Oryzias latipes: one gene and its partners. The main gene of each other region encodes a partner of the protein of the gene in region 5 in a complex. Links are inferred from orthologs where the notes say so. Each region holds a gene or a part of one and is shown on either strand. Other genes may lie near its edges. The genes, in order: cnot9, CCR4-NOT transcription complex subunit 7, cnot10, cnot8 and cnot11.

Evidence for each region.
Region 1: cnot11 (region 5) and cnot9 share a complex: the UniProt entries of both Homo sapiens proteins name them as parts of the CCR4-NOT complex. The link is inferred for Oryzias latipes from reciprocal best matches to the Homo sapiens genes CNOT11 and CNOT9.
Region 2: cnot11 (region 5) and CCR4-NOT transcription complex subunit 7 share a complex: the UniProt entries of both Homo sapiens proteins name them as parts of the CCR4-NOT complex. The link is inferred for Oryzias latipes from reciprocal best matches to the Homo sapiens genes CNOT11 and CNOT7.
Region 3: cnot11 (region 5) and cnot10 share a complex: the UniProt entries of both Homo sapiens proteins name them as parts of the CCR4-NOT complex. The link is inferred for Oryzias latipes from reciprocal best matches to the Homo sapiens genes CNOT11 and CNOT10.
Region 4: cnot11 (region 5) and cnot8 share a complex: the UniProt entries of both Homo sapiens proteins name them as parts of the CCR4-NOT complex. The link is inferred for Oryzias latipes from reciprocal best matches to the Homo sapiens genes CNOT11 and CNOT8.

What each region holds. Positions count from the first base shown.
Region 1 is NC_019879.2:16,419,378-16,424,037, reverse strand, and holds the end of cnot9 (CCR4-NOT transcription complex subunit 9), read left to right. Parts: intron 1-1,528; coding exon 1,529-1,620; intron 1,621-2,069; coding exon 2,070-2,238; 3' UTR 2,239-2,806; downstream 2,807-4,660. UniProt on the Homo sapiens protein: Component of the CCR4-NOT complex which is one of the major cellular mRNA deadenylases and is linked to various cellular processes including bulk mRNA degradation, miRNA-mediated repression, translational repression during translational initiation and general transcription regulation.
Region 2 is NC_019868.2:26,782,999-26,789,667, forward strand, and holds the start of CCR4-NOT transcription complex subunit 7, read right to left. Parts: upstream 4,234-6,669; 5' UTR 4,032-4,233; exon of another isoform or gene 3,802-4,031; intron 3,632-3,801; 5' UTR 3,625-3,631; coding exon 3,508-3,624; intron 2,899-3,507; coding exon 2,705-2,898; intron 1,551-2,704; coding exon 1,389-1,550; intron 276-1,388; coding exon 131-275; intron 1-130. UniProt on the Homo sapiens protein: Has 3'-5' poly(A) exoribonuclease activity for synthetic poly(A) RNA substrate. Its function seems to be partially redundant with that of CNOT8.
Region 3 is NC_019874.2:7,745,086-7,751,510, reverse strand, and holds the start of cnot10 (CCR4-NOT transcription complex subunit 10), read right to left. Parts: upstream 4,453-6,425; 5' UTR 4,257-4,452; coding exon 4,226-4,256; intron 3,643-4,225; coding exon 3,548-3,642; intron 3,443-3,547; coding exon 3,281-3,442; intron 3,209-3,280; coding exon 3,055-3,208; intron 1,961-3,054; coding exon 1,821-1,960; intron 1,085-1,820; coding exon 1,001-1,084; intron 924-1,000; coding exon 840-923; intron 524-839; coding exon 406-523; intron 233-405; coding exon 83-232; intron 1-82. UniProt on the Homo sapiens protein: Component of the CCR4-NOT complex which is one of the major cellular mRNA deadenylases and is linked to various cellular processes including bulk mRNA degradation, miRNA-mediated repression, translational repression during translational initiation and general transcription regulation.
Region 4 is NC_019872.2:29,378,608-29,385,276, forward strand, and holds the start of cnot8 (CCR4-NOT transcription complex subunit 8), read left to right. Parts: upstream 1-2,214; 5' UTR 2,215-2,313; exon of another isoform or gene 2,314-2,484; intron 2,485-3,215; 5' UTR 3,216-3,297; coding exon 3,298-3,414; intron 3,415-3,548; coding exon 3,549-3,742; intron 3,743-4,183; coding exon 4,184-4,345; intron 4,346-5,224; coding exon 5,225-5,369; intron 5,370-5,457; coding exon 5,458-5,568; intron 5,569-6,669. Other genes in the region: protein FAM114A2, read left to right, coding at 383-436, 508-618. UniProt on the Homo sapiens protein: Has 3'-5' poly(A) exoribonuclease activity for synthetic poly(A) RNA substrate. Its function seems to be partially redundant with that of CNOT7.
Region 5 is NC_019879.2:14,490,257-14,496,576, forward strand, and holds cnot11 (CCR4-NOT transcription complex subunit 11), read left to right. Parts: upstream 1-1,855; coding exon 1,856-2,174; intron 2,175-2,253; coding exon 2,254-2,418; intron 2,419-2,489; coding exon 2,490-2,642; intron 2,643-2,964; coding exon 2,965-3,167; intron 3,168-3,551; coding exon 3,552-3,754; intron 3,755-3,869; coding exon 3,870-3,966; intron 3,967-4,051; coding exon 4,052-4,249; 3' UTR 4,250-4,556; downstream 4,557-6,320. UniProt on the Homo sapiens protein: Component of the CCR4-NOT complex which is one of the major cellular mRNA deadenylases and is linked to various cellular processes including bulk mRNA degradation, miRNA-mediated repression, translational repression during translational initiation and general transcription regulation.

The DNA of each region.
Region 1 (4,660 bases), about 1.9 Mb from region 5:
TCCGCCATCTTGCCGAACCGCCGGACAGCTCGAGGAAGTCGGAACCGGCTCATAAGCCACTCATCCTCGTTTGCCAGGAAGTCTTCTTGCTGTCTAAATATGCGTTCACTCCGAATTCTTCCATTTGCCACATCTTCTAAGAGCGCAAGATAAGCCATTGAGCGTCATTACGCATTGTGATGGGGCATTTTATTTCCATCCATTTAATTACATCTGACAAGCTACAGATGTCGGTAATAATCGACGTGGAAATGGGAAATTGATCAGCGCAAATGTAATTTCTTGTTGCTTTCTGAATGGTTGAGACATACGCTATACATTGTTTTATCAAAAATAAAACAAACTAAAGGCATATGCATGAATACCATAATTCCATAGCTTATGCCTTATGAAGAAATGTTTTAATATGAAAACAACTTTCACCAGTGGACAATTAATGTCTGTCTGTCTGTCTGTCTAATTGCACCAATATCTGCTCCGCCAGACGGACACATTAACGAGAATATCAGTTTTGTACATTATTTCGTTCTGTTAACTATATTGTTTATGAGGATGAATTGCACTACATGCCAATATTGTAGAACATATTTCACTTTTCTTTTTGCAAATATGTGTTCATTTGAATTTCTGTTGTAATTTTCGTTTGATTTTTTTGTTTGTTTCACTGCTGATCGATCAAACGGGTGTTCGTGTAGCTGTTAATTGTAAGACTTGCTTTGTGAAGTCTTCATGTTATTTCTGAGAGGCAGTATTGTCATTTTCACTTTCATGTGTTTCTTCCATCTGCCGACGGTGTCGCCGTTTCTCATTTCACCCGTTTTTGTGCGTACGCCTGGGTCAGAGCTTGCGTGAAGGACCGCACATTTTCCCGTCAAGTTTGCTTTTTATAAATCTCAATTATTGCGTAGAGAGTGGCGTACGCCTTCTTTTGTGCGTACGCAACGTTTATAAATGAGGCCCCAGGTCTTTTTGCGTTGCTGAGTTCACCAGTGCTTTCTGTCTTTCTCAGGATGTACCACACTGTTGATTTTGCCACTCCTAATACTGTAGCAATTTCTGGCATGTTTTTTTTCTGTTTTCTCAGCTTAATGATGGCTCTTTTCCCCTGCATGGAGAGCTCCTTTGACCGCATGTTGTCTGTTCACAGAAAAATCTTCCAAATGCAAGCATGAGTCCTCTAATCTTCTCCAGGCCTTTTATCGGCTTCACTCATAATGACATAACAAGGGAATTACCCACACCTGCCCATGCAATAGCATGGAAGTCAATTATCCAATTATTTACGAGCCCATGAAATGAAGGGATTGTGTTTAAAAAATGCTTTAGTTTTTCACATTTTTATGCAATCTTTTTGTTCAACCCATGGAATAAAAGCTGAAAGTCTGCACTTCAACGGCATCTAAGTTTTATTTAAAACTCACTGTGGTAATGTACAGAAACTAAATTATAAAGAATGTGTCTATCCAAATATTTACGGTCCTGACTGTATGCTACACACCACAATAATACGATCATTTTATCTGTGCAGGGCAAGATGGTGCTGCAGCTCTCCAAAGAGCCATCAGCTCGTCTGCTGAAACACGTTGTCCGCTGCTATCTTCGCCTCTCTGATAACCTAAGGTAAAACAGTCTCCGTGACTAAATTTGCCTTTTTTATTTATCCTAAAGTTCCTGGAAAACAACTATTTTGATTGCAAAAAAAAAAATAGAATTTGATCTGTGTTTTTTGCAACTATCATTACTTAATGTGTTTCTACTGGTTAAAAGTGCTGCAAAAACAAGCATATAGCAACTTACCGGTAAATGGGAATTCCACATAATGCCTTCAGATATTTCTTTCTTTCCTATTTTGGATGAAACATGCATTTTTGGGATAATGAAACTTGGAAAAGAAGGGTAACAGTTGTCTGAATTAATCAAAAGTGATAAAAGATTTACAATGATCAGCTTTTTTTTTTTTTAGAACTTTTAAAAATGCTGTATAAACAAATGTTTATTTTCTGATTGGCTGATATATGAGAAGTTACATATGTCCTACAGTGATTTGACATTTGGTTTTCTTTTCTCAGAGCCAGAGAGGCCCTTCGTCAGTGTCTACCAGACCAGTTAAAGGACAACACCTTTGCACAGGTGCTGAAGGACGACACCACCACCAAGCGCTGGCTCGCACAACTAGTGAAGAACTTGCAGGAAGGCCAAGTTACCGATGCTAGAGGCATCCCACTTGCTCCACAGTGATGGAGCTTCAATCCACAGTGAGGGGGTGTGGTTCCAATGGACACAAATGGACTCACTTGGTGTTTTTTGCCAAATTTGGTGCTAAAGCTATGCACTGGAGAGGCTTAAAATAAGAGATGTTTTTCTTTTGCTTTAGTTTGTTTTTCTAAAGATAGGGTTGTTGTCAAAACTGTACACTTTTATAAAAAACCTTAAAAATCTGATTTTCAAGCCTGACTCATTTGGACGCCTAGTACATTACTTCATTTTATATGAGCAACTGGCTCAAATATTGACTGAGACAAATTTCTTTCTTGCTACCCTTTTTTTGTCAAAGATGTTTGTGAAATGTTGAGGTACATTATGTTGCATTTAAGGGAAAACTTGCAACTTCAGCCCCGTTTCTGCTTTAAAATTTTCTGAAAGAAACAACATATGAAAGTTAGGAAACTACATCCAAGATTTTTCTCAAACAGCATTTTTCTGCAAGTCATCCTGAAAACTGTTCTTAAATCTGATGCTGGCGCTTTTTATTGTTACCACTCGATCTTTCTGTAACTTCCAATAAAAGCTGGTTTTGCTTCTAAAATGAGCATTTTAATTTGCATTAGTTCTATGATAATAGTGAGCAGGAAATCACAAATATTCTACAGTAAGTGGTTGTTAAGGTTTAACAGTCATTCTCTGATATTTTGTCTATTTACAGCTACACTTTTTTGGATACATAATTGTAAACATTTTTAAAAAGTCACCATTTGTTTGTTTGACCTTTAAGACTTTTCCAGAGGATGATCAAACTCAGGATGTTGTGTGAATGAGAAGTGCAATTAGAGGAACTCCTCCCTTTAGTCTTGGAAAGACGGCTGTCCCAAGTGGCCAATTTTTTAAAGGATATTTATCTGGATGGATTATGGAATAACACACTGGAATAATAAGCACATTTTCTCTTGAAATATTCCTGTCAAAATATTTCCAAACAAGAAAACTACTTGTACTGTCATGTAAAGTATTCTTAGAAAGTAATCTTGGAGATGTTTATTGATAATTGATTAGGCATCTGTCTATTTAAGCGTTCTATTGTTTTTGCATTATAAAGGCTTCAATTGTTAGCAGTGGAGCATTAATTCTCTGGTTGTTTAATGTCTGCTCTAATAATCTGACAATTTCTCATGTTCTTAAGTATTGGCAATCCTTTCAACACATTTTTTATTTTTTTTAAATCAAATATTTATTTTTCAAAGATGTGTTATCTTTTAGGGAATAGTTTCTTTAAAACATTGCTCATGCTCTGCAACACCACCTGAAAATTAAAAGTATCAAAGATCCACCATCTAACAGAAGAAGAGTCACACCCATGTATGTAAAGCACCAATGTGGTCTCATCAAACTAAGGGAAAGACCTCCATATCACCTTCATGTCGCAAGTTGTTAAAGCATAGGATAGTTGGCATATATCTTGGTGATTTTCTTGGATGAAGGTTTTCATAAGACTTTTATAAGATAAACAGAGATTGGTTCACCAACAACTATTTTAGCAGACTTCTTGACAGAATTAGCAAAATATTTTAAAACCCTTTTTCTTTAAACAATAATACACATTAAATGTGTTTTAGATACAGTGAAGTTGCATTACAGCCTTCAACCAAATAAGAGCAACCACATTTGAGGCCGATTTCTTTTAACTTCTCCAAACCCCTTTAGACACATTTTGAAGAACCTCATATGTGTAGCCACCTTAGAACGCCACACAAAGAAACAGAAGCTCATCTTTCCTCACTGTGTCCTCTATCTTTCATGTCTGCTCGCTCCACTAATGAACCTTCATTTCCCCTTTACCGGTCCATTAACAGATTGTTGTCCACATGGGCTCCATTAGCCACGTGGACTCAGATATAAATCATGCATCATGGATTTACCTGCGCTCAAGCCTTCCATTTGAGAGAAAATCTGATCCCAGTGGGACAAGTTTCCTAAGTATCCACTACCTGTTTTTGTCTTCTCTTTATCAGCTAGTGTGCATAAAGGTATTACATGAGAGCCATTACTTTGTAGATGGAAACTATGCATTAGCAAGACTATGTCTAGAAAGGCTAAAGCACCTTTTCCATTTTTAAGCTGTTTGTTTTCCAGAGGTCCAGGATTCTGCTGCACTTTAGCGGAAGAAGTATAATAAAAGCAAACTGCCAATCTATGTCGTTCAGTTTTCAATCTTTGCTCTAATTCACATGTGTCAAACTAAAGGCCCACAGGCCAAATGTGGCCCGCCATGTCATTTTATGTGGCCCACGAGAGCATAAAAGCTTTTCATTTCTTAATTTTTTTTGTTGATTAAATATTATTTATGTGTAGCTACTGTTGTAATTATTCAATGTTTGCAGGTCTTATGTGTGTATGCAGACAAATTGTTGTCATCAAACCATCAGTTGGATGCAAGGCTGTGTGC
Region 2 (6,669 bases), on a different chromosome or scaffold from region 5:
AAAAGCTTAAAAGTACGATTCTTGTTTTTTGCCATTTTGCTCCACAACTAAACAAAAAGATGAATTTCTGGAAATCTTAGATGCTACTTTAAAGCTGGTGTGATATAACAAGCAGTCTTTGCTTGGGTACCTTCAGGTTTTTGCAGCTCTTCATGAGGTACTTGACATCGTAGATGACCGGGAAGTACAAGCGGAGAATCTCAAAGAAATCAGCCTCCTCCTCCGGTAGGTTTGCATTAGAAAGAATTTTGATCAAGTATCCAAAGTCGTAGCCGCTGCGAAACACAAAGACACCGTTATTGTAAAACTCCAACCAGCAAAAAAAAGAAAGAAAAACGTTTTACTTCCAAGCACAGATTGTAGGAAAACTGTAGGAAATGCTACAGTTACAACAGCTGTCCACTGGGGGGCGACATTGCCTAAACAAAAACAAAAAAACTGGCATATGGGGTCAAATCAGAATCAGCTAAAGGTGAATGATAGATCAGATTTGAGAAAAGACTGTCTAAAAAAAGTTTTAAACTAGACAAATATGAAAGAAATGTTGAAAATGTGAAAGACAAAAATTGTAAATTTGAAAAAAAGAATATTAGTAACAGCTGCTGTTTGGCAAATTTTAACGTATGTTTTTTCCTTTAGACCTAAATTTACAGTTTTAATTCTGACTTTTAGTTAGTCGATCCTAATTTTACCCGGGGGGCGGAGCTTTGTGCTCATTGGCTACCGGTGTTTGATTGACACCAGGTGACAGGTTTCAGTGATGTCGTTTCCACCCCCAAACAGCATCTGTTGACGGCCCCGTCTGTGTCATCCCTATTCAGATGTGACGTACAGTAGTGATAAGAGCTTTTTCTTCTTTTTTCCCTACATTTTTTGAATTTAAAATATTTCTCTTTCAAATTTATAACATATGGTTTTGAGTCCAAAGCTGTTTTCAACAGCTCTGCTTGTCCTGTGAACTTTTTCTTCTGCCTCGCCGCATCATTTTCAGAAACGTTTAGGGCGTTCACATCCTTTTGCGAAGGAGATTGTTTTCCTTGTTTTGGTTCGTCTCTCCTCCGGTAAACCGGCGCTGAATACAGAACAACGATAATGACTGAAGGAAGTCGCCTTGAAAGAAAAAGTGACAACATCCAAACCTAACGATAAGAAGGAAAGTCTTTGGTGCTGCGCAGATGTGAAAAATCGTTCAACTTAAACCTAAATATCTCCTAAAAAGGAAGCGATTAGCTAAAAACAACACAAAAAAACAGGTAGAGACATATAGGTTTGTTATAAAATAAAAGATGCAGCGGCGCGGGATGCAGAGTTTGTTATTTAAGCTTGAAAAAGACGATGACTTTACCGTCAATAACAAACGTGAAGAGCAACTATTGATGGGGGGCTACCTATGGAAGGAGAGCCACTTGATTCCGTCACAGAGCACCACTCCTGATGTCATCAGCAGCTCTGCAAAGAACAGCGTCTCGATGCCTTCTTCCTCGTGCTTCTTGAACTGAATTCCTGAAGTGGTCAGGAGCTCGATGGAGTCCTGCGCGTACATGTCCTCTCTGGTTAAAACAATAAATACATAAATGAAATAAATAAATAAAACACATCTCTGTTTCTAAGCTTCACGCTTTCATTCCAAAAAAACAACAAACAAAACGCCACAGAATAACCATTAAAAAACTTAAACTTTGTAGGTTTGCTCAGCAAAGAGGGAAACCTTCAAAAAAAAACTTAAGGCAGGAATAGATCGACTAGGATCTGACTGGATGCTGGAAAAAGTGCAAATTCTTCCATTTGGGAACGATGGACAGAATAACGCTTGACTTTGAAAAGCATCGTTGAACCCACGGGGGACCAATCGTGTGAGAAGGGATGAAAGCGCCGCTCTTATTCTGAAAGACAAATGCTTCTCCTGTAAGCCCCGCCTCCTCCGTCCCAGAACATCCACCATGGATTTCTCCAAGAATCTTTAGATGTTTTACATGATTCACAAAACAAACATAACTTAAAATTTTTTTTAAAAAGCCACCCAAGCTTACGTAAAAAAAGTAAAAAAAAACCCCATCTGTTTAACAATAAAAAACAATTAAAAAAACACCTGTGCTTCCTATTTAGAGCATGCATTATTGCTATTTTTTTCATTAATTACTTGTATTTTTCAGGCAGCTTTGATCTGTTTTTTTTTTTTTAAATATAAAAACTCCTATTTTCATTCAGGATGCTTTCTCTTCGATTAATTTAAATCCCCTTTGTGCGCCTACCCCCTCTGATAAAAAAAATGTAAGTTGTGTTTTTGGAGGGCTTAACATGTGGTGGTGGTTTTTTTTTTTGATGATACATAAAGAAAATTAACCTTCGTCTTCCTCGTCTGAGCTGGCTCGCCCTTTTTGTTGCACCGGTCAATATCAGGTCAGGCGGTATGAGGGGGCTGTAAGCTACCGGGAGATTGTGTAAACAGAGAGCTCTCAGCAACAAGGAAGGAGAATAAAGGGTAGAAACTGCAGAAACTATATCCAGGAAAATGACAACTTTTTTTTGTGTGTGGCTAAAATACGGAATAACCATAATTTAAATCTGATTGGGAATGCTTTTAAAATAGATCAAAGGCATATAGGACTTTAATGTGTTTTGAATTGAATTGTTTTTACAGATTGTGAAGTCGTTCATGGGAATCCAAGCGGACGAGTCTGTTTAGACATAGTGAGAGACTCACGTGAGGCTAAACTTAAAGTTGAACTGCCACGTTGACGTCCCGGGGGGGTACTCTCCCTGCTCGTTCATGAAGGTCAGGCCCAGCTGGATGATCTTCAGCAGGTCCACGTTGCAGCGCAGCAACTGGTACTGATAGTCGGCATTGCTCCGGAACTCTCCGATGGGTCGGGCTACAACTCCTGGAAACTCTGTGTCCTGAAAGAGGCAAGAACGAGGGACCGTGGACACCAGTGACAGTGGGTGGGTGGGAGGATGGATAGATGGATGGATGGATGGATGGGTGGGTGGGTGGGTGGGTGGATGGATGGATGGATCGATGGTTGGGTAGGTGGATGGATGGATGGGTGGGTGGATGGATGGATGGATGGGTGGGTGGATGGATGGGTGGGTGGATGGGTGGGTGGGTGGGTGGATGGATGGATGGGTGGGTGGATGGGTGGATGGGTGGGTGGATGGATGGATGGGTGGATCGATGGTTGGGTAGGTGGATGGATGGATGGATGGATGGATGGGTGGGTGGGTAGATGGATGGATGGATGGATGGATGGGTGGATGGGTGGGTGGGTGGATGGATGGGTGGGTGGATGGGTGGATGGGTGGGTGGATAGGTGGATGGATGGATAGGTGGATGGATGGATGGATAGGTGGATGGATAGGTGGATGGATGGGTGGGTGGATGGGTGGGTGGATAGGTGGGTAGGTGGATGGATGGATGGGTGGATGGATGGATGGATGGGTGGATGGATGGATAGGTGGGTGGATGGATAGGTGGATGGATGGGTGGGGTCTCTGAGCATCTCTCACCATTGCGATGTAGTTGTACTTTCGGATGACGTGCCGGATTCTCTTGAGCTCCTCTTCCAGGTTACTGGCCCAGACCTCACATATTCTTTGGCTGTGGTCTACAGTGGCTGCGGGCATAGTGCCACTTCACCACGCGTGGAGATGGGGGGCGGGGGATGATGAGAGCATCATGAAAACACAGACAAAGCAGCCGAAACCACATGAAAAGAGCCGCTTAGTTAGTAGTAGAAGTCATGTGTGTTTTAGCCGCCTGCTAGCTCGTAATTTAAAGCAGCACTGTTGCTAGCTTGTTACCTGTTAACAGTTAGCGGGTTGGAGGTAAAACTTCCGAACAAGAGGAGTGGCGACTGTGCGGTTTTCTCACACAAAACATTAGTTTCGATCAACTACACAGGAGTGGTTGTACAACAGGACAGGCACGAGTAAGTAGCAGCAGTGCGCGCGCGCGCACACACGCCGGGGCGTCACTTCTTTTCTTTTTTTTTTTTTTGGGAGACTGCAAAGGTTTTGTTTCGTTGACTCACCGTTCCCCGAAACGGGCGCGCGCGTGTTTGAGCGTGTGCTATCTGAAAGCTGGCCGTGTGTTCTGTGATATCTGTCAGCAGGGAGGGGAGGGGGGTGTTCCGCCAACTTTGAAATACTTTTATATTCAGTGGGGCTTGATGTCAACCTACGGCTGCCATCACAGCGGACCCCACACAGTGACGTCATTACGTAAAGTGAAACGTCAGGACGTAAGGACGTTTCAGGATCCTCATCCGTAAAATGTGAAAAAAGGTTTTCCAATAAATGTTTGTAAAGAGGAATATATAAATTTTAAAAAGTACAAATAAACGTTATATATTTCTTATTAATTACTAATTTATTCAAGGTGAACAGGCTCTCGTTGAAAGTGTATATATAATTATTTTCAAAGGATATATTATTTTTAAAAATTATACTGTACAGATTTTTTTTATTTTTTCACAAAATATATTTTCTTTTCAATTTATATTAAAGTAAAATAAACTTTTTTTTGCCCCTAAAGTTATATTATTTTGGTAAATTACTGAAAAAGTTTTACACAAATAAAAATGTTAGCCATGAAACCAAAAAGGCCACATTTTAAATTCAAGTAAAACATGATGCAGAGATAAATTCGTTTTTCAAATCACTTGTTTTAATAAAAAAGTACAATTTTCACAGACGCATCATAATCCAACGTTCGCATTTTTGTTGATTTTGATCATTTTATGACCACTCTAAGATGAAAAAAAAGAATGCATATGATTGACATCTTTAAGGGAAACATTTTCAACAAATATGGACTAGAGGACATTTAGGGTGAAAAAGATTTTACCTTTAACTTTTATTGTTGAACACAAACCCTCAATAACCAATATGTTGTGTAAATGCCCTTATAATTTTTCATACCTTATGTAATTTTTGTAATGTTTAATTTTTTTCTATGTTATCTGTATTTCATTCTTTTTCTTTTTCTTTGACCTTTAACCCCTCATCCCGTAAGTTAGTAATTCATAACATTTCATTTTCTCCAGCACTTCATTCACAAAGGAAGTTTTTTCAACATTGAGAATAAATTCGGGCATGAAGTATTTTACACAGCTGCAAAAATGATGACACCAGTGGTTCTTTTTGTGATGCCAAACCTGAAACTATGACCCACATTTTCTTGATTTGTACACATCCTCAGGTAGGATGTGTACTTTTTAAAACAAAATAATTTATTTATAAACATATTGTTGCTTCACTTCCTCATCTTCTATTTATTTGCAACACAAAGACAAAATGGGACAATCTCCCACTATGTAATTTTTTCTAAAATAAAAAAAATCAGTGGCTAATATAAGATTACAAAAAAATCGTTTTTAGTAAATATTATTGCATTTAGGCTGCACGGTGGCGCAGTGGTTAGCGCTCTTGCCTCACAGCAAGAAGGCCCCCGGTTCAAGTCCCGGCTGGGGGACGTGAAAAACAGAACATCAATGGGGGACCTTTCTGTGTGGAGTTTGCATGTTCTCCCCGTGTATGCGTGGGTTTTCTCCGGGGTCTCCGGCTTCCTCCCACCATCCAAAAACATGCTTCATAGGTTAATTGGCAACTCTAAATTGTCCATAACTGTGAGTGTGAGAGTGAATGGATGTGTGATTGAGGATATTCCACCCTGCAACAGACTGGCAACCAGTCCAGGGTATCCCTTGCCTATGCCCAAGTGGCCGGGATAGGCTCCGGCAGCCCCGTGACCCCGAAAGGGAATAAACGGTTAAGAAAATGAATGAATTATTGCATTTTTCATGCTAATTTTTTCTGCAATTACTTCTCTTTATTATAATTTTATCAGTTAATGGTATTTTTCGATGCTCATACATTCCACGTTCATAAATCATTTAAACATTTTGTTATTTCGTGTTTTATTTAAAAATATGTAAATACATTTTTATAAAAAATTACATAATTTTAGATTTTATTTCTTTATGTTTACAACTGTTTGTATTTTTGTCTTAATTAATTGGAGAATCAAAAGAAGCAAAACAAATCTCAAATAATACATTTTGCAAGACATAAAAATTGATATACATATTATCAATATCTCATTTTAGATTGATTTAAAACTTTATTTAATTTGCAATATCATCGTTAAAAATGTTATAATATTGAATCAAAACCATGTTGATTGTTAATAAATGTTATCCTGCAACATTTTATTGCTCTTATATAAATGTCAATAATGTCAAAAATGCTTTTTTTTTCTTATTATTGAAGTTTAAAACAATGTTTCAACGTTTTTGGTCATAAAAACATAACTGAAATAAATCATGAATTGAAAAAAAAAATTCTGAATGAAAATGTCTTGCATACGCAAAACAAATGATCACAATATTTGCTTATACTTCCTAATTAAATAAAAATGTTCTGAGCTCTTCAATCGGATTGATGTATTTTTCGATTAATCGTAAAAAAAAAAAAAAAAAAAAAAAAAAAAGAACAAAGACCATCGTTTGTTTGTTCACCTTTCGGCACATTCCCTCATGGGTCGCCACAACAAATGGTTTGGCAGAGAGTTTTTTGCAGAATGCTTTTCCTGACACAACCGTGTATTTTATCCTGGATGGGGACCAGAACAGGGGGGCCTGGACTTAGTCCTTTTTTCTTTCAGACAGA
Region 3 (6,425 bases), on a different chromosome or scaffold from region 5:
CAACACTTGGACCTGGATGGTCTGCTCTGCACACGAGGACCCGCCCTCTAGAGTCAGACGAGGGCCGGGACGCTGTGCTTACCCTGGCTGCTGCTGCCGTCTCCCAGCTGAGCGCACGTGTGATCGTTCTCCTGCAGAGCCTTCTTGAAGTAAAAAATGCCCAGGTTGTGCTTCCCCATGGCAAAGTGAATGCAGCCCAGGTTATTCCAGAACATACAGCGAACACATTCACCTGGACGACGGGGAACACGGTCAGAGGAGGCAGCAGAAGCAAAGTCATTCATGACAGATGCTTTCTGATTGAATGACCACTAACTTTATTGATCCGTTTACAAAGCTTGAGTCGTAAATCCTTCACAAACATGCAGGTGATACTTATTCAGATGTTCCAGCAGAGGACCTGACCTGTCTTCATGGGTCCTGGATGCTCGGCGATGTTGCAGCTGTTCAGCAGCTTCACAGCTTTGCGGTAGTTTCCTCTCAGGTACTCAAAGTTGCTCTTCAGGAAAAGGGAGGGTGCAGACTGCAGGAGGAAAAAAAGCACCACAGTAACGACATGACCACAGTTCAGCCTGTGAGCACCAAAACTGAAATAAGCAAGGACATGTCCTCTCCAGGGTCACTGGTGAAGCATCCAGCAGCACGATTTCTATCAAAAAAAAGGTTTCTAAGTAGAAATCCAGTCATGAAAAAGATGGGAGGCAGATATAAACAAAGCTAAACTGAATACAAAGACCTGGAATCTCATGATTTTGACTGTACAGAATGGAGCTAAACAGGAGACTCAGGGTTCTCTGGACAGAGGAAGGCTGTGTGCATGGAGCCCACTGGAAACTCACATTTCCGGCTGTGTTCATCACCGATTTGATTTCTCTCTTACAGGCCTTGGAAGACTTCATCTGGATGTAGGCTCTGACCTTGTACTAGAGGGAGGAGACAGAGAGTGAGGGTTCTGGAGCAAGGCAGCAGAGTGAAGGGAGAGGACCCAGAGAGCTCTGACCTGGTGGAGTTTGTATTTTGCTGCTTCAATCATGGCTGCAAACTCCGCCCTCTGGCTGCCAGCGTCCTTATGTGAAGTGGCGCTCTACAAGCACACACACATAACAGTAATGCTTCCATCATATACACAGTGGACAGAGGAACAGGACTCTCGTGGTCGGTCCCTTCATTCCGTTTCTAACCCACAGGAAGGAGGCAGGTCGACAGTGACGCGTCAGCTGCTGCCATGCATTTCCTAAAACAGCGAGCAGCAAGAGAGGCAGCTTTAAAAGAGTAAAAAAACTGCAGCCTGTCATGAAGAGGCCCAGAGAGCAGCCGCACGAGCCGTCACTGCAGCCTGAAACCGGCTGGAGTGAGGAAAAGAAAACTGCAGAGAAACTAACTCCAGTACTTCACAGACTACAAGTGGCTCTGGACTGCAAGTCTAACTTTTGGTAGACTTTTGAAGAGCTCTGTAGTCACAGCCGCTCCATGACATCGTTCACAGATTCTCCCAGGACGGTGAGCTTCACCGTCTGCTGCAGGAGCTGCGTCTGAATGGTGCTTCCGTCTCTTCAGACTCAGTTTAAAAAACAGTTTTTTTAAATCACATATATCATTTGCTCCTGAGTATAAGTCACACCCCTGCCCAAACTAAAAAGCTATTTATACTCCGAAAGATACCATAACTCTGCTTTTCAACATCTTTGTTCTTGTAAATCATTAGGATTTAAGGTTTAACATTTACCTAAGGGACAGAAAAAGGTTAAACAAATCTAAGTAGAACAAAGCCTCCTCCTGTAAATGAGGCGTCTCTTCATCACACTGCCGGCGCCGCTTACCTCTCCTTTCCCGTTCCTGCTGCCGCCCTGAGCAGACAGCTTATCCAGCACGGCGAGCAGGTGCAGCGCCTTCTCTGGCTGGAAGGTCAGCAGGTACAAGTCCACCAGGAGGAAGCAGACGGCCTGAGCAAACTTCTCTTCTGGGACAAATGAAAAAGTCTTTACACACACAGCCGAGAGCAGACCTGATGTAAGGCACGCCATGCATGGAGCAATCCCCCCCAGTCCAGTCTGCACCAGCAGGCTTCCTGTTGGGTCAGACTGTGCGGGACGCGTCCCTGAGGATCAGGACGGTGACTGTGGGAACTTGATCCATCACAGGAGCTTTCAGACAGAACGTTGCAGAAAAAAGCTGAACCCACAGGCGCTGAGAACAGATCCTGCTGCACAACATGCCGTCTGAAGATGGACAGCCTGAAGATGTGGCTCAAACCAAGACTTTTAACTTCATCATTGAAGCTGGTTTGAAAAGAAAAGTATCAGCTGATTGGTCAGATCACAAAGAAAGCTGGGATGTTTACATCAGAAAAGGCAGCACCAGCATAAATCCAGGTTTGACCTCTCATTACATTTACAGACACTACAATGGAGACGATGCTTCCATTTGAGGGTATTTGGGATCAAAAAGGAGGCGTGATCTGGTGACTGACAGGTGACTTTGGGTGTGCCCCCCCCAACATCTGACATTTCCCATTATTGGAAAAGCTAGAAGTTTGTAGAATCTGGTTGAAGAGCAACTACCAGGGAGCTGAAAACTCGTCAACTGAGCTCAGCACAGACCTTAGGGTCACATGACCAAAGATGGTGTGTCCATGCACTAAACCTCATTGGACATTCATGAAGACTTCTCCACATCTGTGTTTAATGTATTTACTATTTAAATCATAATGGAATCCAGGTTTGAGCAGTCCAGGCCCTGTGGGGTTTGAAGAGGAACCGGTTCTACGTGGCCTTCATGTGAAAAATGCCGTGGAATGTTCCTTTAGTCCCCTGGAGAATTGGAAGCTGTGAATCGGAAGCCAACTTCAGCGTCGTCAAACACTCCAGGTCCATAATCAATGAGGCTGCAGGGACTCTCCATTTCTGAAACAGACCTCTCTGGGACACAACAGGACCCCAGTGTTCTCACAATGTGACCTCAGTGACCCCCATGTGAACGTCCAGACGCAGAGCAGAGCATGCACCTGTGCCACAGACAGCGGCAGGCGGGGAGTCTGCCCTGCTGACTACTCACCAAACGGCTCCAAGAACTGGTAGAGCTTCTCTCCAATGGAAATGGCCTCAGAGAACTGCTTCAAGTGGTAACAGATGACCGCTTGATTGTAGTACAGCAGGCTGTTCTCCACGTCGTCCAGGCCATCGGCGTCTTCCGTCAGCGATGAGTGGAGCTGGCGGACACAGTCGGCCAATCAAACGTCTCATAACGTATTAGAGTGCAGGTGTCGGTGAGCTGCTGTTACCCGGTTCTTCATGGCCATCAGCGTCTGCCTCAAAGTGCCCGTGGTGGTCTGACTGCTCCTGTAGAACTCTGTGACGGCCTTGTTCATGGCGATCTTGTAGTCCTCTTTGTTGAACTCCAGCAGGGCTTCCAGGTGCTTCATGGACTCTTCGTACCGTCCAGCCTGTGAGACACAGAGGCTTCACGTCGTGTGGCATTACCCAGCTCCAGCCTCCACCACATGCACCAAAACCTGTTCTGCTGACGATCCGAAGAGAGACGGACTTACCAAGAAGCACTCGTACGCACTCGAGGCCAGCTCCTTCTCCTGGTCGCTCATGCCCGTCACACCCGAGCCGTCATGCTTCTCCTCGTTGCGTTCGGCTGAAATTGCAACAGAGGAGACATCAAACCCTCTGAGTTCCACCTGAGGACGGAATGCGTGGCTCAACCAGAACCCAAAGGGCGCCATGTCTCTGCAGTCCTTCCCTCTCACTCTGGAGGCTTCAGACCCCACATGGTAACTTCCTAAGACCATTTCTGAAAATCCCTCTCATTTAAGGCAGATATTGTAGCCTTAAGTTTAGCAAAAGAATGTCACGTGTATGACGACGTAATGACCTTCTCTCAGTTTATTGTGGGACGCGTCTGTTCATGGCCAAGCTGGGGTTCCTTCATACGTGGTGTTGTGTCTGAGTTATGGTCTGTCCTGTCATAGTTCCATGATGAGCAGCAGGACCTGCTTGGATCACCTCAAGAACTTTGATCTAACCACAGTCTGCTCAGTATTATCTGCACCCCAACTTCGGGACGGTTACCTGGGAGTCCTGGATCTGCCACGGGGCTGTCGGGCTACCTCTAATGTCTTTTGGGGGGGTTTCAGCTACACTGACGGATCATCATCATGCAGAAGCAGCCGCTAACTGAGCAGCAGCTAGTTAGTAGCATCATCAGCCGGAACACCCACCGGAGTTTTCGGCCATTTCCCGGGTCTTCATCCACAATCCAGCCGCGGAGCTGTAGGAGAACACAAGAACAACGCCGGGAAGAGGAAATCCTGAATATCCAACTGGAAAGAGTTTTACACGAACCGGACCAGCTCTGTTTGTGGTCGGCTTCAGTGACTGACTGCTGTAGCCGCTTCTCTTGGTTCTTCTTCGGTCACTGGCGCCATCGACACCAGCGCACGGTTTGTCAACAGCGCCCCCTTTGGAAGTAACTGTCCATGGTAAGAATGAGAGCACGCGCCGTCTTTTTTTATTTTGAATAAACTTTATTTGTAGTTAAGTATAAACAAACTTTATTAACAAAATCTAACATCCGTCCTATCGAGTCAGGCTGCTGATCAGGTAGAAGACAGTTCTGTGGCTTCATTAAATGAGCTCAATAGTGGAACTTCTCCACTTCCAATATCTGTCTGTCAGTAAAAGGCAGAGAATGAAACAGTCAGAAACTCTTTAGGATGTATCTGCTCAGCTGATCAGTCTGCTCCTGTTATTTGCAAGATTCTTTTCTGACTTCCTTGCTCTTTTCCTTTTGGGTCAACAGCTGCCTCGTCAATGAGGATCGGCACACATCCAGCTTCTTCTCCAAGTCCTGCAGGGGTATACGCATGGATTAGTTCAGTGACACCTGATGATGCTGCTCCTCCTCCTCCTCAACTGTATCTTCCAGTCCTTCTCCTCAGTGGCTATGGTCAGTCTGATGGTGCGCCTCTTTCTTCAGCAGGCTGGGCGGATCTCTGAGCAGCTGCTGGAGATTGTGTCTTGTAGCATCAAGGTGTCAACACAGGTGTCATTGAGCTACTTACCCAAAGCCTCTGTCTCCTTCTTGTGCCTTATCACATCTAGTTTGGTTTTTTCTTGTTAACTACAATAACCTCAGTGAGAAATGAAATACCAGATGCAAGTTAAAGGTAAACTGTTCCTTGTTCTCCAATGGACAGGAGAGGGAAAGGTGAGGCGAGGTAGAAGAAGAAACAGAGGAACTAAAACAGATTAATGGAAACTTCAAATAATAAGGAGACAACGTGAAGAAAAAGAGGCAGAGATGGAGTTAAGAAAGAACATAGAGGAAACAGCTAATCAAGGAGACGAGGATGGGAGCCATCCCCAAAACATAACACACCCAACCACCCCCACCCATGTCCTGCAAATTCCCTTCAACAGGGTTCAAATATAACAATGCCGCTGGGCTGCAAGGTGGAACAATGGTTAGTGCTGAGAAGGCCCCAGTTTAAATCCCGACTGGGACCTTTGTCTGTGGAGTTGCCTGTTCTCCTCATGCATGTGTGGGTTTTCTCCAGGCACTCCAGCTCCCTCCCACAGTCTAAAAACATGCTTCATTGGTTAATTGGCTACTCTAATAGTGTCCCTATAGGTGTGCATGTGTGTGTGATTGTGTGCCCTACGACAGACAACACTGTGACACAGAAATGGATGGATGGATGGATATGACAAATTCAAATGAAACCACAAGTGTGTCCCACACTGAACCGGTTTAATCTGAAATCAGGTGCAAACGCAATCATGTGGATGCAGAACAAAATAAAATAACAGCATCGATGAATTACAACAAATCATCTTTAAGCTGAGATAAAACAAAAGCTTTTTTTCCCTGGTAATTGCAATGTCAACACAGAAAACTTGTGTGTAATTTGCAGCTGATTCTAGACAGGTGATTGTGAGTAAAAGGTTGAAAACGAACAGCACCTGTTGAGCACAAGCTGTGCTCAGCGAACCTATTGGCAGAATTTTCCTTGAAGGAGAAAAAACGAATCCATGAAGTGGCAGAAGGAGAGGCTGCTGGAGGTGGTGAAGCAGTTCCCTTCAATTAGAGTTCATCTGGACAGGAGAGTAAGTAACCATCTCAAAAATAATAATAAATAAATAAAACATCAGAAGAAACTGGTTATTTTAAATGTGATGCATCTGTTCTTCATTTTTTTAACTACATGAAAATTTGGGATGTTTCTTCCCCCACAGAAACACAAAGCAAAACAGGAGGAAACACTTGTTGCTCCTGTTTGGAGCCACGACCATCCTGGTTAAATTAAAGATGCTGAGCTTCATACATTGGCAGGTATTAACAAGATACTTGATAAACAAATTTTCTTTATGAATTTTGTAAGTGCACTTTTGTATTCTGTGCGTGTGTTGCAGCAGGTG
Region 4 (6,669 bases), on a different chromosome or scaffold from region 5:
GTCTTCTTCCAGAAGCTCCTGTTAGACGGCTGGAACTGAGACTGACGACATTCAAGAGTTCCTCCTGCAGAAAGCCCAGTAGCGCCCGGTCCTGCAGTGAGGCCACGGCTGCAGTTGCCATAGAAACCAGGGTTTTTCCATTCAAATGTCCAAAGTTTCACTTTTCCTCCACCTTTTATTTCTTAATATAGATTTGAGTCAAAAACGAGTTTTATAGAAGATGCGTTTATTGTTGTTGGTAAATAAAATGAAACACTAGAATAGGCAGGAAGGGGTTAAAGCACAGAACCGAACTGCAGGATGCTTTCAGGTCCGCTTGATCCCGGTACCGGTTCCACAGACGTTCTCTCTCTGCAGGCTAACGCTTTGCCCTGTTTTTCAGTCTCAGGACAAAGGAGACGTGCTGAACCCCCTGATTACAGGAGTCTTTCTTGAGGTGGGTGTGCCATCGCTGAATGTTCATGTTGCCCCTCCCACAGCGCTCCTAGAAATGCTCCTCCCACACAGGCGTCCAACAGCGCGTCCTACATCCAGGACGCTTTCCAGCTTCTCATGCCGATCCTGGAGATCTCCCACATCCAGAGGAGCGCCGCGTCTCCAGAGAACCGACGCCGCTGAAAGCCTTTTGAAGAACTTCGGCCGGAAGGAGAAAAGCTTTTAGTCGCACCGTTCTGGGGGTTTGTGAAGCACAGAAGCAAACATGAGGCGTCCTGACCTACAGGGACTCCACTGCTTCTGCAGAAACAAACAGGGAAACACTTTATTATCACACTTCTGCTCAAAAAATTCTTTTAATGAAAAAAATCGAATGAAAACTTGTAGGGTAAGGTGGGACGCTTTAAATAAGAAAAAAAAAATTAAAAACAAAAATCTGAAACAATTAGAAACGACCCAAAAATGTGTGATGTTTGCACTTTTGTCCCGGTATCTTTGTTGTTTTTCTCCGAAGGTTCTTTGACTCTCCCCATCAGCAGAGACGCTGTCGCCCTTAAGGGTCATCTAGGGATTCTGACTCAGAGTTGCCTCACCTGAGCACGAGTAAAGGAGGGTTCCTCGCTGCACTTGTAACCTCCACCAAGGCTTAGTGCTACATGGAGGGGTGGGGTCCCGTGGGAGGATGGGTTCTGCCCCCAGGCGGTAGCAGACAGAAGTCATTTTACTACTAATCAATAAAGAAGCTTCTGCAGTCACTTTGCGTTGACGAAGCAGAAGCAGCTTCACCTGCAAGGTGGCCTTCAAAGCCACACCCTCTTTTTAATAATTTTCCTTATTTTTAATCCCCTGCTGTTGTTTTACTTTATTATGAAGTTGTTCTTCTGTGTTTTTCCCTTAAAGCTGCAGCTGTTTCTGTGCTAAACATGATGTTTCTGTGGAGGACTGAAACTCACTTCATTCAATTGTGTAAAAATGTAAAATAAAAGGGTTCGGATGGACCGATTTGAACGCTGTTTTTCATTAGTTTCCTGTGACTTTTTGTCAAATCTTTTCCTTTCATGGTCATTGGTATCACATGGTCTACAGAGGGAACTACAGAGGGAGCAGCATGTGCAGCAGCTGCTCTTTCACCATTTTTTACCTCATCTAGGTTTCCGCGTCGCTCAGCAGATGCGTGTTTGGGGAAAGAAATACACATTCGTTTATACATTAAAAATACAGTTTCACATGAAAATACCTGTAAAACACAAGGAGTAATGAATGTTTCAATGAAATGTTGATATTCAAACAAAAACATGATATACCTACATGTCTCATGCTGTCTTTCATATGTTAAACTAAATTCATATTTACATTTTAATTATATGTGTATTGGAACCGTTACAAAGGTTATCATGGTTGAGTCCTGCACAATATAACCATCATATAGTTTGATAAATAATGTTTATTCTAATGTGTTCTCTGCTTGGCATTTTAGTTACATATTTGGGTTTATTGTTTTCAGTTTACAAACTTTTTTTTAAATAGTGTTTTTTTTTGTATTTCTGACATTTTTATTATGATTATTCCTATAATTTATTAAAAAGGTACAATGAATGACCCATTTACTGCATGGATGAGGGCCTTTAGGAAAAAATTTGTGTTGAAGTAGTTAATATGAATTTGACATATGAATATATTTAAGTAACAAAAAAATGTAAAGATAAGTCATACATTTTTATTTAATGGATGGATGTCAACAAATGAAGTAGCGTTGTGGAGCTTCCGCTCCGGACCGGCAGGGGGCAGTGTGCACGTTTATAGTCCACTCCAAACCGGAAGTGAGACGGTAGGAAATGAAGGAAGCAGACGACAGCGTTGTGTCGAGGGAATTTTAAGGTAAACCGGTTACCTAATTAAACGACTACATTTTTTTTCCCGGGCAGCTTCAGTCAGATTAAACACTTTAACAGGGCCACGTCATTTATTTATTCTTCAATGCTGCGTCATCTCTGCAACTTGACCGCGCGCGAATATTAACGTCTATGCTAACTGTTAGCATCGATCACGGTTTGTTTTCATTTTCTTTTCTGCTTAAGAACAATTTTAAAGTATATTTGTTTTATTTATAGTGTTAGAATGATTGAAAATATCGGTTTTATATTTGTATTTCGGCTGAAGTTAAATTAGTAAAGCCAGTTCCGCACTACAGTCAGTACGGAGTCGGCTGTCATGGCAACAACAGCGTTTTTTTAATGCTGTTCTTTGTTGTTTCTATTTTTATTGTTAGTTTTTGCTCGTTTTGAGAGCCTCCATACAGCGTGTACTTTCATTATATATAAAGATCTATGTGGAAACGCGTCAGGTAGACTGTAAAAATCCCAGTTACAGACTACAGAAACGTCATTTTACCATGTAACTTTCAGTGCTGCTGTTGAACTGATTTTTTTTTTAAACCAAATATATGGTGACACCCAAGACTACTTGGTGGATTATTACATACAGAAAGCAGTTAGTCTTCAATCTATCAATAGCATTTTGAATCAAATTGATGCTGTGAAACAGGGAAACAATTGTTAAGGGGTCAAAGCAGGACAGAGTAAAGACACGGTTTGACCCTGCATTTGACCTTAGATCAGTAAATGATGCCATCATGACTGGGTAACTTTTGAATAAATTAAGTAGACTCTTATTAGATGCTCAGCTTCCAAAGATTCCCTATTTTTATGTTGTATACTTGTGATGATTTGACGGCATTACTCTGAGATTTAAGTACGTTTTTTCTAAATCTCCTTTCGCAGTTCTTTTTTTGTTGCACGGTCCCCCTTCCCACCCCCCCTTGAAGCCCTGCAGGACCGTCGGGTCTCCTAGGAACCTGCCAACATGCCAGCTGCTCTTCAAGATTCCAGCCAGATGATCTGTGAAGTCTGGGCGAGCAACGTGGGGGAAGAGATGAGGAAGATACGGCAAATTATCCAAAGCTACAACTACGTTGCCATGGTTACAGGCTCTCCTTTCTTTGTTGACAGTTGAATTCTAAAAAGAAAAACAAAGAACGTAAATGTGGTGATTGCAAATGTGTGCTAGTCTCTTCCTTTCCTGGAGTGTCCTAACCCTGCATTTCTGTGTCTTAGGACACGGAGTTTCCCGGAGTCGTGGTCCGACCCATAGGCGAGTTTCGCAGTACGGTAGATTACCAGTACCAGCTGCTGCGGTGCAACGTGGATCTGCTGAAGATCATCCAGCTTGGTCTCACATTCATGAACGAGGATGGGGATTACCCCCCCGGCACGACCACGTGGCAATTCAACTTCAAGTTCAACCTGACGTAGGTGCTTCGTCGTCTCATGGGACTGAAAACGTTCGCTGCTTCCTGTCAACCTGCTGGCAGCCTAAGCCACTTATGTGCTATGATGACAACAGTCTTTAAAAATAATAAAAAACATAAACAGAGACGCCTGTAAATTAAACTCCAGTACGTAAGCCTTAAACAGGCTGTGAAAGATGCAATGAGCCACTTCTCCACTAGGAGACAGTATTTCACACAGAAGTTTGTGCCTCAGCTGTTCTACTGTGGTGTTAAACTGCATGAACTTTTTACTTTTTTTTTTTTATTAGATGTATTTTAATAATTAAAAAAAGGTTGATTTACATTTTTGTTTACTCCTTTTCATAAATCTCTGAAAAGTGAAAGGTTCACAGGTTTTCTAGTGAAATAAGATGATCAAGTCCTGAAATGATCCTTGATGTTCTCTAACGTTGTGTGCAGTGAGGATATGTACTCCCAGGACTCCATAGACCTGCTCCAGAACTCGGGTCTGCAGTTCAAAAAACACGAAGAAGAAGGAATCGACACGCTGTACTTCGCCGAGCTCCTCATGACGTCGGGTCTGGTTCTGTGTGAGAACGTCAAGTGGCTGTCCTTCCACAGGTCGGTTGTCTGCTGGCTTGTTCCATGAACGGGGGTGGGAGGGGGTCTTCTGTTTGATCTTTCAGAAATCATAAAATATAATTAAAATCACTTTAACCCAGTAGAACCCACGGTGACGTCAGTGTAACAGAAAATATCAGAAATGGATTCTTTGGTCCATTTGGTTTGTGGTTAAAATATGCACTTTATTTTAAACAACAAATGGGTCTGGGTACTTATGGGTTAACACCAGAATAGAGATCCAGATAAAACAATGTAAGCAGGTCAAAAACATCTCTTTTACTCTGAACTTAATCCTTGTCAGAGGAAAAACTTCTCTGGGATCTTCAGGGAGAAATTTCAGAGATTAGCTGCATGGAGCTGAATTCTGAGCTCCAGTTAAAGTTCTGCCTCTGGTTCATTCCAAATATGATCTCTGATGCTAAAGCATGAAGAGACTTGAACAGAAGCAGAACTATTTGAAAGGCTGTTGTGTGACCTCGGGACTGATGGTCAAAATCAGAAGCGGAGCAGCAGCGTTCTGGATGAACTGCTGCTTCTTTTCTGGGTCCAGACGTTACAGCAGTCTGACCTGCTGGAGACAAACTCCACAATAAACTGGTATCTTAGTCCTCTTTGGTTCTGCTGATGTTTCTTAGACGATATAATGTAGATGACGTTCAAGATTATGGAACTTTAAGTCTTTGCAGAGCTTTTTAGAGCGACCGTCACCATTTTCCCTGTCTTCCTCTGAGACAGACACGATCTAGAAAAGGTTTCTGGGATGCTGCTTCTATTCACATTGATAGTAAACTTTTGCAGAACCTCTGAAACTGTTCAATGTCTAGAGGAGTTGATTCTCTGAGTTTTTAATCATTAATAATTTTTGTTTTGTCTCAGTGGTTATGACTTTGGCTATCTGGTGAAACTCCTGACGGATGCGCGGCTTCCAGAGGAGGAACACGAGTTCTTTCAGATCTTAAACTTGTTTTTTCCTGCAATTTACGATGTGAAGTATTTGATGAAGAGCTGCAAAAGTCTGAAGGTAAGGCCTGCGGGTCACAGGGTTTATTGCTTTCTACATCCCCGAGGAACGTGGAGCCGTCTCACTCCGTCTCCGCTTGTTCCTGCAGGGGGGGTTGCAGGAAGTGGCCGATCAGCTGGAGCTGAAGAGGATTGGCCGGCAGCATCAGGCGGGGTCGGATTCGCTGCTCACGGGCATGGCTTTCTTCAGGATGAAGGAGGTACAGTCTTCATCGTTTTCCGGCTGACAGCTGTTCTGTTGCAGCTGGAAGTTTTTGTGAATCTGCTTAGATGGTTTATAAAATGTCTTTCGAGAAATGCATTTATAAATGCGTAGAATTGTAGATCTTTAGTGTTTTATGTGTGGACATACACTCACCCACTTTAGCAGCTCCACTTTGCTTGTACCCTCTTTAGCCTTCAGAACCGCCTTAATCCTCTGTGGTTTAGAATCAGCAAGGTTCTGGAAACATTCCTCAGAGACTTTGGTCCATGTTGACATGACAGCATCAGTTGCTGCAGATTTGTCAGCTGTACATCCATGATGCCGATCTCCAGTTCCACCGCATCCCAAAGGTTCTCTATTGGGTTCTGGTGACTGTGGAGGCAGTTTGAGTCCAGAGAACTCATTGTCATGTTCTAGAAACCAGTCTGAGATGATTCCAGCTTCATGACATGGAGCCTTATCCTGCTGGAAGTAGCATCAGAAGATGGTCCACTGTGGTCATGAAGGGATGGACATGGTCAGCATCAATACTCTGGTAGACTGTGGTGCTGGAACCATGCTCAGTTGGTACAAAGAAAACATCCCCACACCATGACACCACCACCACCAGCCTGAACCGTTGATACAGGGCAGGATGGATCCATGCTTTCATTTTGTTGAGGCCAGATTCTGACTCTACCATCTGAATGTGGCAGCAGAAATGGAGACTCATCAGACCAGACAACGTTTTTCCATCTTCTATGGTCCAGTTTTGGTGAGTCTGTGTGAATTGTAGCCTCAGTTTCCTGTTCTTAGCTGACAGCAGTGGTACCCGGTGTGGTCTTCTGCTGCTGTAGTCCATCTGCCTCCAGGTTGGACGGGTTGTTCTTTCATTGATGCTCTTCTGCAGACCTCTGTTGGAACCAGTGGTTCTTTGAGTTCCTGTTGTCTTCTATCAGCTGGAACCAATCTGACCTCTGGCACCAACGAGGCATTTCCATCCACAGAACTGCTGCTCTCTGGATGTTTTCTCTTTAAGGACCGTTCTTTGTAAACCCTAGAGATGGTTGTGGGTGAAAATCCCAGTAGATCAGCAGTTTCTGAAATCCTCAGACCA
Region 5 (6,320 bases):
TTTTTATGTCGTTAAGTTTAGGTTCATTGAATGTCAGGGCGTTAAAAAAGGCTACCAAGCGTAAAGCTCTTTTCTTGTTTGCCAAAAAGTTAAATACAGACTTTTTCTTTTTTCAAGAGTCCCACTCTACAAAAGATGATGCAAATTTCGGGAGATCCCAATGGGGTAATAACATATTCTTTTCTCATGGAAGTCAGCACTCAGATGGCACTCTTACGGTAAAACACAAATTTGAAGGTGACAGTCTTACACATAAATGACCTTGGCATACGAAAATAAGACTTTTATAGCTATAAATGTATATGGTTACAATACTAAATGTGAAAATTCTCAACTCCTATCCATAATAGAAAATTGTTCACCTGAATGTTTAAACAAACTTCCCCATGCAATAATTATAATTGGAGGAGACCTGAATATGGTGTTAGATTGTCGACTGGATAGATGGCCACTACAAACTAATAATCCTAATGCTGAACTACTTTAATTTATACAAAGTTTTCATTTAAAAGATCCTTGGAGAGAAGAATCCAAACAAGATCAAGTTTTACATGGAGCAACAAAAGTATCTCCCGGCAGTCACATATTAGCCATATACTGGCTTGTTTTTGATCGTCTAGATACAGATGATATTAATATTAACATTTTTTTTTTAAAGATGGCAGTCAAATTCCCCGAGCCCTAAATCTAGTAAAAGATTTTTCTAATGGCCCTGCACTTCATCTTAACATCAAAAATGTGAAGAACTACCTATCAAATTTGACAAAACACGATCCATATGTAAAATTCCCATCACATACATGTAACACACCTAGGGATTACTATCACCAAAAATTATGGAAACTGTGTGTTGGCTCTCCAGCAGCAGCAGTTGTCTCTCTTGCCGCTCGGGAACTCTCTCCCGACGCCAAAGCCGTTAAAGACATCCCTGTTACACACAACCGTGTTTGCTTCTTAACTCTTAAATAATGGACACAGGAGACATTTCATTCTGAACCTGAAGTGCAGCTCCCCACTCACTTCGTCTTGACTATGATGAGAGGCTGCGCCTTCCTTTTTATTTTCAACTGCACGTAAAAAAAATTGGCGCATGCTTACGTAATAACATAATCAGACAGAGATCGTCTATGGTGACAGACATTGTACTCCAACACTGTGTAACATACCTAGGGATTACCATCACCTAAAACGAACATAAGAGAAGTTCTTCAAATTTCAGTCCCTAGTAAAACGTTTTAACTTATGGGTTTTAATTTAGGTCTCTTACCTGAGCCTAAAAGGCAGAGTACTGCTATCTCTACCTTCTCTTAACTCTCTCTCTCTCCCTCTCCCTCTCTATCTATCTATTTAAATAAAACAAATGTGAACGATTATTTGGTAGGAATAATTCATATACCATTTCCACCTGCTGGACTGGAGAGAAACTGAAGAAAACTACATCACCCAAGATGCAGTTCACCGGAAAATACGACTAAAAAATACTTCAAGCTAATGGCTCGCAGCACTATCCCATTCAGGGTCTTATTTCTTTCTCAGTCCTGGAAATATTATCTTTTGTAACTCTTTGGTTCGATTGATAAGTTATACGTTCATTTAATCTATTTGGATAATTATTTTTAAAAAGATGATTGATGTTTTGACGAGTTTCCCGGTTTTGTAGCTTATTTTTAAGCTAGGCTAACTTGATGCTAACCGCGTTATAGGATCTCAATCGAGATGACTTCTGGGCCACCGTCCTCCACTCTGCGTCTTCAAAGATGAATAAGCGGGTAAGAGCGCCGCTATAGTTATACAGAAAGACTTATCAGGGACCCCGGTCAATCTCTGCATCCGATCGAACTGTGGCGGGGAAACGATGACTCTGGCTCCAAAGGAACTGTCCAACCTGCTGAGCATAATCTCGGATGAGGCCTGCAACAACAGCTTCGAGACCCTCTCCACTCATTTCCATCATTACTTTGGGAAGGCGGACCACTTCAAGGTGGGTTCGGTTCTGGTCATGCTGCTGCAGCAGCCGGACCTGCTGCCCAGCTCTCCGCAGCGGCTCACAGCCCTCTATCTGCTCTGGGAGATGTACCGAACCGAGCCGTTGGCCGCGAACCCGTTCGCCGCCGTGTTCGCGCACCTGCTAAACCCAGCACCTTCCGGGGATGAGCAGGAGAAAGCCCTGTCCGGTAGGGCCGCTTCCTTTCACCTTTAGCCCGACGTCTCATCAGAACCGCAGCCGCTCAGTCTCTGTTTCGTTGGGTCCAGGCTTCCTTCCTCCCATCACGCAGCCGGAGAAGTTCTTCCTGTCCCAGCTGATGCTGGCTCCGCCCAGAGACCTCTTCAAAAAGACCCCCAGACAGGTGTCCTGCATGGACGTGAGCAACATGCCCCCATCTATAGACATCAGCGGGCTGCAGCTTCCTTTAGCAGGTCAGTGAAGGTTGTAAGGAAACATCTCATCACAGGTGAAGACGCCGTCAATCCCAGCCCTCTTTTTGCAGAGCGCCAGTCAGAGCTGCCCACCCAGAGCAAAGCCAGCTTCCCCAGCATCCTCAACGACCCCGATCCAGACTCCTCCAACTCAGGCTTCGACAGCTCTGTGGCCAATCAGATCATTGAGTCTCTGGTCACAGGGCTGCGTCCTCCTCTGGAGAGTAAGTGCTTTTTTTCACACAAGCTGTGATCACATCTGTGGAAGAAAGAAGGAATCTCCTCAGAAAAGATGGTAGCCGTCTCCTCAGCAAAAACTCACGGTTACAGGTTGATCGGCGCCGACCTGATCTGTTGAGTGCGATTGATCTTTAACTGATACTTTAAAAAAAAAAGTGTTTGAGTGACTGTCTAGAAGGTTTTTGCTGAAGTTATGTCATTTTTCAGTAGTTTTATATTAAAGTATTTAGACTTTGTTCAAAGGCCGTCTGTCTGAAGGTGTTGCTATGAGGCATGGTAAGTACCAGTTTCTCAAAACCCTCCCAGGTCATTTTCGACCCGAGTTCATCCGGCCGACGCCTCCGCTCCACACATGCGAAGATGAGCTGGCGTGGCTGAACCCCACCGAGCCGGACCACTGCATCCAGTGGGATCGGTCAATGTGTGTGAAGAACAGCACCGGCGTGGAGATCAAACGCATCATGGCCAAGGCCTTCAAGAGTCCGCTGTCGGCTCAGCAGCAGTCCCAGGTAGGTCTGATGCTGATCAACAACATGTTTGGTTTACACAAAGGCAAAGTCAGGGTTAAAATAAAAACTTTATTTAAAATAGGAACTCCTGTTCTTTGCAAAGAAACAAAAACTTAACTTCAGATCTGCTCTTTTTTCATTTTTAAATCAAGATTTATCAAAACAAAAACACAATTTGTGGGAAAAGTATTTGTTTCTTTTTTAACCTTTGTCTTCCTGGATTAGTTTTCTGGTGGTCTTAAAAAAAATCAACCTTTATTTTTCCCTTCACTCAAAAACTTTATCGTCCGTTCCCTAAAAGACAAATTATTTCTTGTGGAGGCGTTGACTCCTACTGCTGTGCACCGCTGTCACTCCTCTGTATTGACCTCGCCGTGTGTGCAGCTGCTGGCTGAGTTGGAGAAAGACCCAAAGCTGGTGTATCACATCGGCCTGACGCCTGTGAAGCTGCCTGAGCTGGTGGAGAACAACCCACTGGTGGCCATCGAGATGCTGCTAAAACTGATGCAGAGCAGCCAGATCACAGAGTATTTCTCAGTGCTCGTCAACATGGACATGTCGCTGCACTCCATGGAGGTGGTAAACAGGTGGGGGCGGGGCTTTGGCTGTATTCAGACCTGTTAACGAATCTCCAGTTGGGTTCCAGTTTGGTGCTGTTTCTGTAGTTTGGAAGTGATGGAGTTGTTTGCTCTCCTCCGTCAGGTTAACCACAGCTGTGGATCTGCCTCCAGAATTCATCCACCTCTACATCTCCAACTGCATCTCCACGTGTGAGCAGATCAAAGACAAATACATGCAGGTCAACACGCGTTCTTGGAACTGTGAACTGCTGAAGAGAGCTCAAGAGTTTTCCTCTGGAATAAAAACCCGCTTGATTCTTGCAGAACCGCCTGGTCCGGCTGGTGTGCGTCTTCCTGCAGTCGCTGATCCGAAACAAGATCATCAACGTCCAGGACCTGTTCATCGAGGTGCAGGCCTTCTGCATAGAGTTCAGCCGCATCCGTGAAGCGGCCGGCCTCTTCCGCCTTCTGAAGACCCTGGACACTGGGGAGAACCCGGCCGAGGCCAAGCCCATCAAATGAGCAGGAGTCCTGACATCAGAGGGAGCAGGGAGCCGTACAGCTCAGTCATGAGAGGACGTGCTGTAAATATGCAGCTCTGCGGAGGATCTTTGTCACTGACTCATCAATTTTTTCTTTATTAAACCCTCGAGTTTGTATTATTTTCGATGTCATTTCCTGAGTGATCAAATGTTGCATTAAGTCAAAGCTGCAGAAATTCCATAAGCTGCTATCACTTCGGCAGATTTACTGGAGCTCAGTGAAACATTTGAACTCAAAAGTGTTTTACTCCTTATTTTGTCTCCATAAAATTGTTGAGTGTTTGGTTCTTGTGTGCAGAGTTGTATGTTTGCAAAGCGTGACACAAGTTCTGACCGTTTTCTTCTGCTCCCAGTTTTCTAGCTTTTAAAAATGTTGAGGGTAAAGTTTTGCTGCAAATGCTTAAATCATTTAAAAAGGGTTTCAGATGTCGAAATAAAAAAACTCAGATTTTAGGATGACAAAAAGACCGACTGTTCTTCCCTAATCCCTATCTAGGGGCAGCAACGTCATACAGTCTGTGAGCAGAAAATGACAGTAAGGTCAGTTCACCAAATAACCACTATGTTTTGCAGACTCAAAATGATGGAAACTGGTCCAATTTCCCAACAAAAACTGAACCCAAAACTGTGGTGTCTGGGTATGAGGGTATAAGATCTTAAACCTGACATCAAACTTTCATCCAAATGAAGATGTGGCTTTTTTTTTTACTTGTCCTGTCCAACAGCTAGGCAGACAGATGAGAGCTGGAGGCCTCTTGTGTTGGACATGTTTTATTTTAACAACAGGGGTTATGAATCTTCAGACAAACCAGAGGTATGTCTGAATAAACCCCTTTTGTAATCGAGGCCAAACTTTATTCATTTTAATCATATTTGAAAATCTTTTTCGTTTGGAGCTTGTGGAAAAGGAAAGGAGGGAAGAAGAGAGAGGGATGTTAGAGGGGGGAGGGGTTAAAACCATGAAGCAGCATAAAGCAACAAGTTGCTGGATGTTTATAATAATTACAGTGAGGTTCAGATGTAATACAAGTCTATAAGGGCGCGGCCTGTCCACACACACACCCAAGTGTCACAAGCATACCCGTTGGCTCCAAAAATGTCAACATGTACACAATAACCCTTGTGCTATCCTATGACCCCACCCTTACATTGACGTGTTCTCCCTACCATGACAAAGGTGGATAAAGATGAAGACGATTTCATGTAATCCATGGACACCAGTGAGGTTCACAAATCATTGAAGAAAAAAGGTTCAGTGCACTTTCTAGTGGGACAGAGAGTGCAAGCTCCAGCCCAACCAGGAGAGCAGCCCCCAACGCAGGGCCCCGCCCCAGAAGAGCACCCACAGCCCCAGATGAGCACCCCACCACCACCCAGGAGTTCTGGGCATCCCTCCACCCCGACCCCGGGTACGAGCCAAGGGAGACCCGCCCCGCGCTCCAGGCAGCCACCCACCCGGCCCACGGTTGGTCCAGAAGAAAGCAAGGCAGGGGCCAGCCATCCCCACCCAGGAAGAGTAAGATGTGGTCTTTTCATTAACTAGTAACCCTGTTCCTATGACAGATGGATGTTTCTTTCCCGCCCATGCAAAGGTCTGAAAAAGAAAAAGCTTTCTTGGATGATTCAATTCCTGAAAAATGTTTGTCCCAGTAATTATATTCTCATTGATACCATGGTCCTGGTGCATACTCACTTCTGATTGGCTGCAGACTTTCCATTCTAATACAGTGATAATGGACACAGAGGTTCTGGTCACACAACCTGAATGTGCTGTATCATTCTGCTCAGTTGGGAACCAAAACAACAGAAACGTGGACCATGGTGGATGGACAGAAGTCATTCTACATCACAACAGCAAGACAGTAAAAGATAGGAGGGATTCGATAGTTTCCTCTCATCTGTCATGTGAATCATTTTGAAGAAGAGAACCTAACAAGGAGGAGGCGAAACACGAGGAGTTTGGATTTTGTTTCTTTGAAACAAACCTTTGTTTTTCACCTGGACAGAGACGTGAACTTTCCCTCTGAAATGATGCTTTGTGTCATGTAACA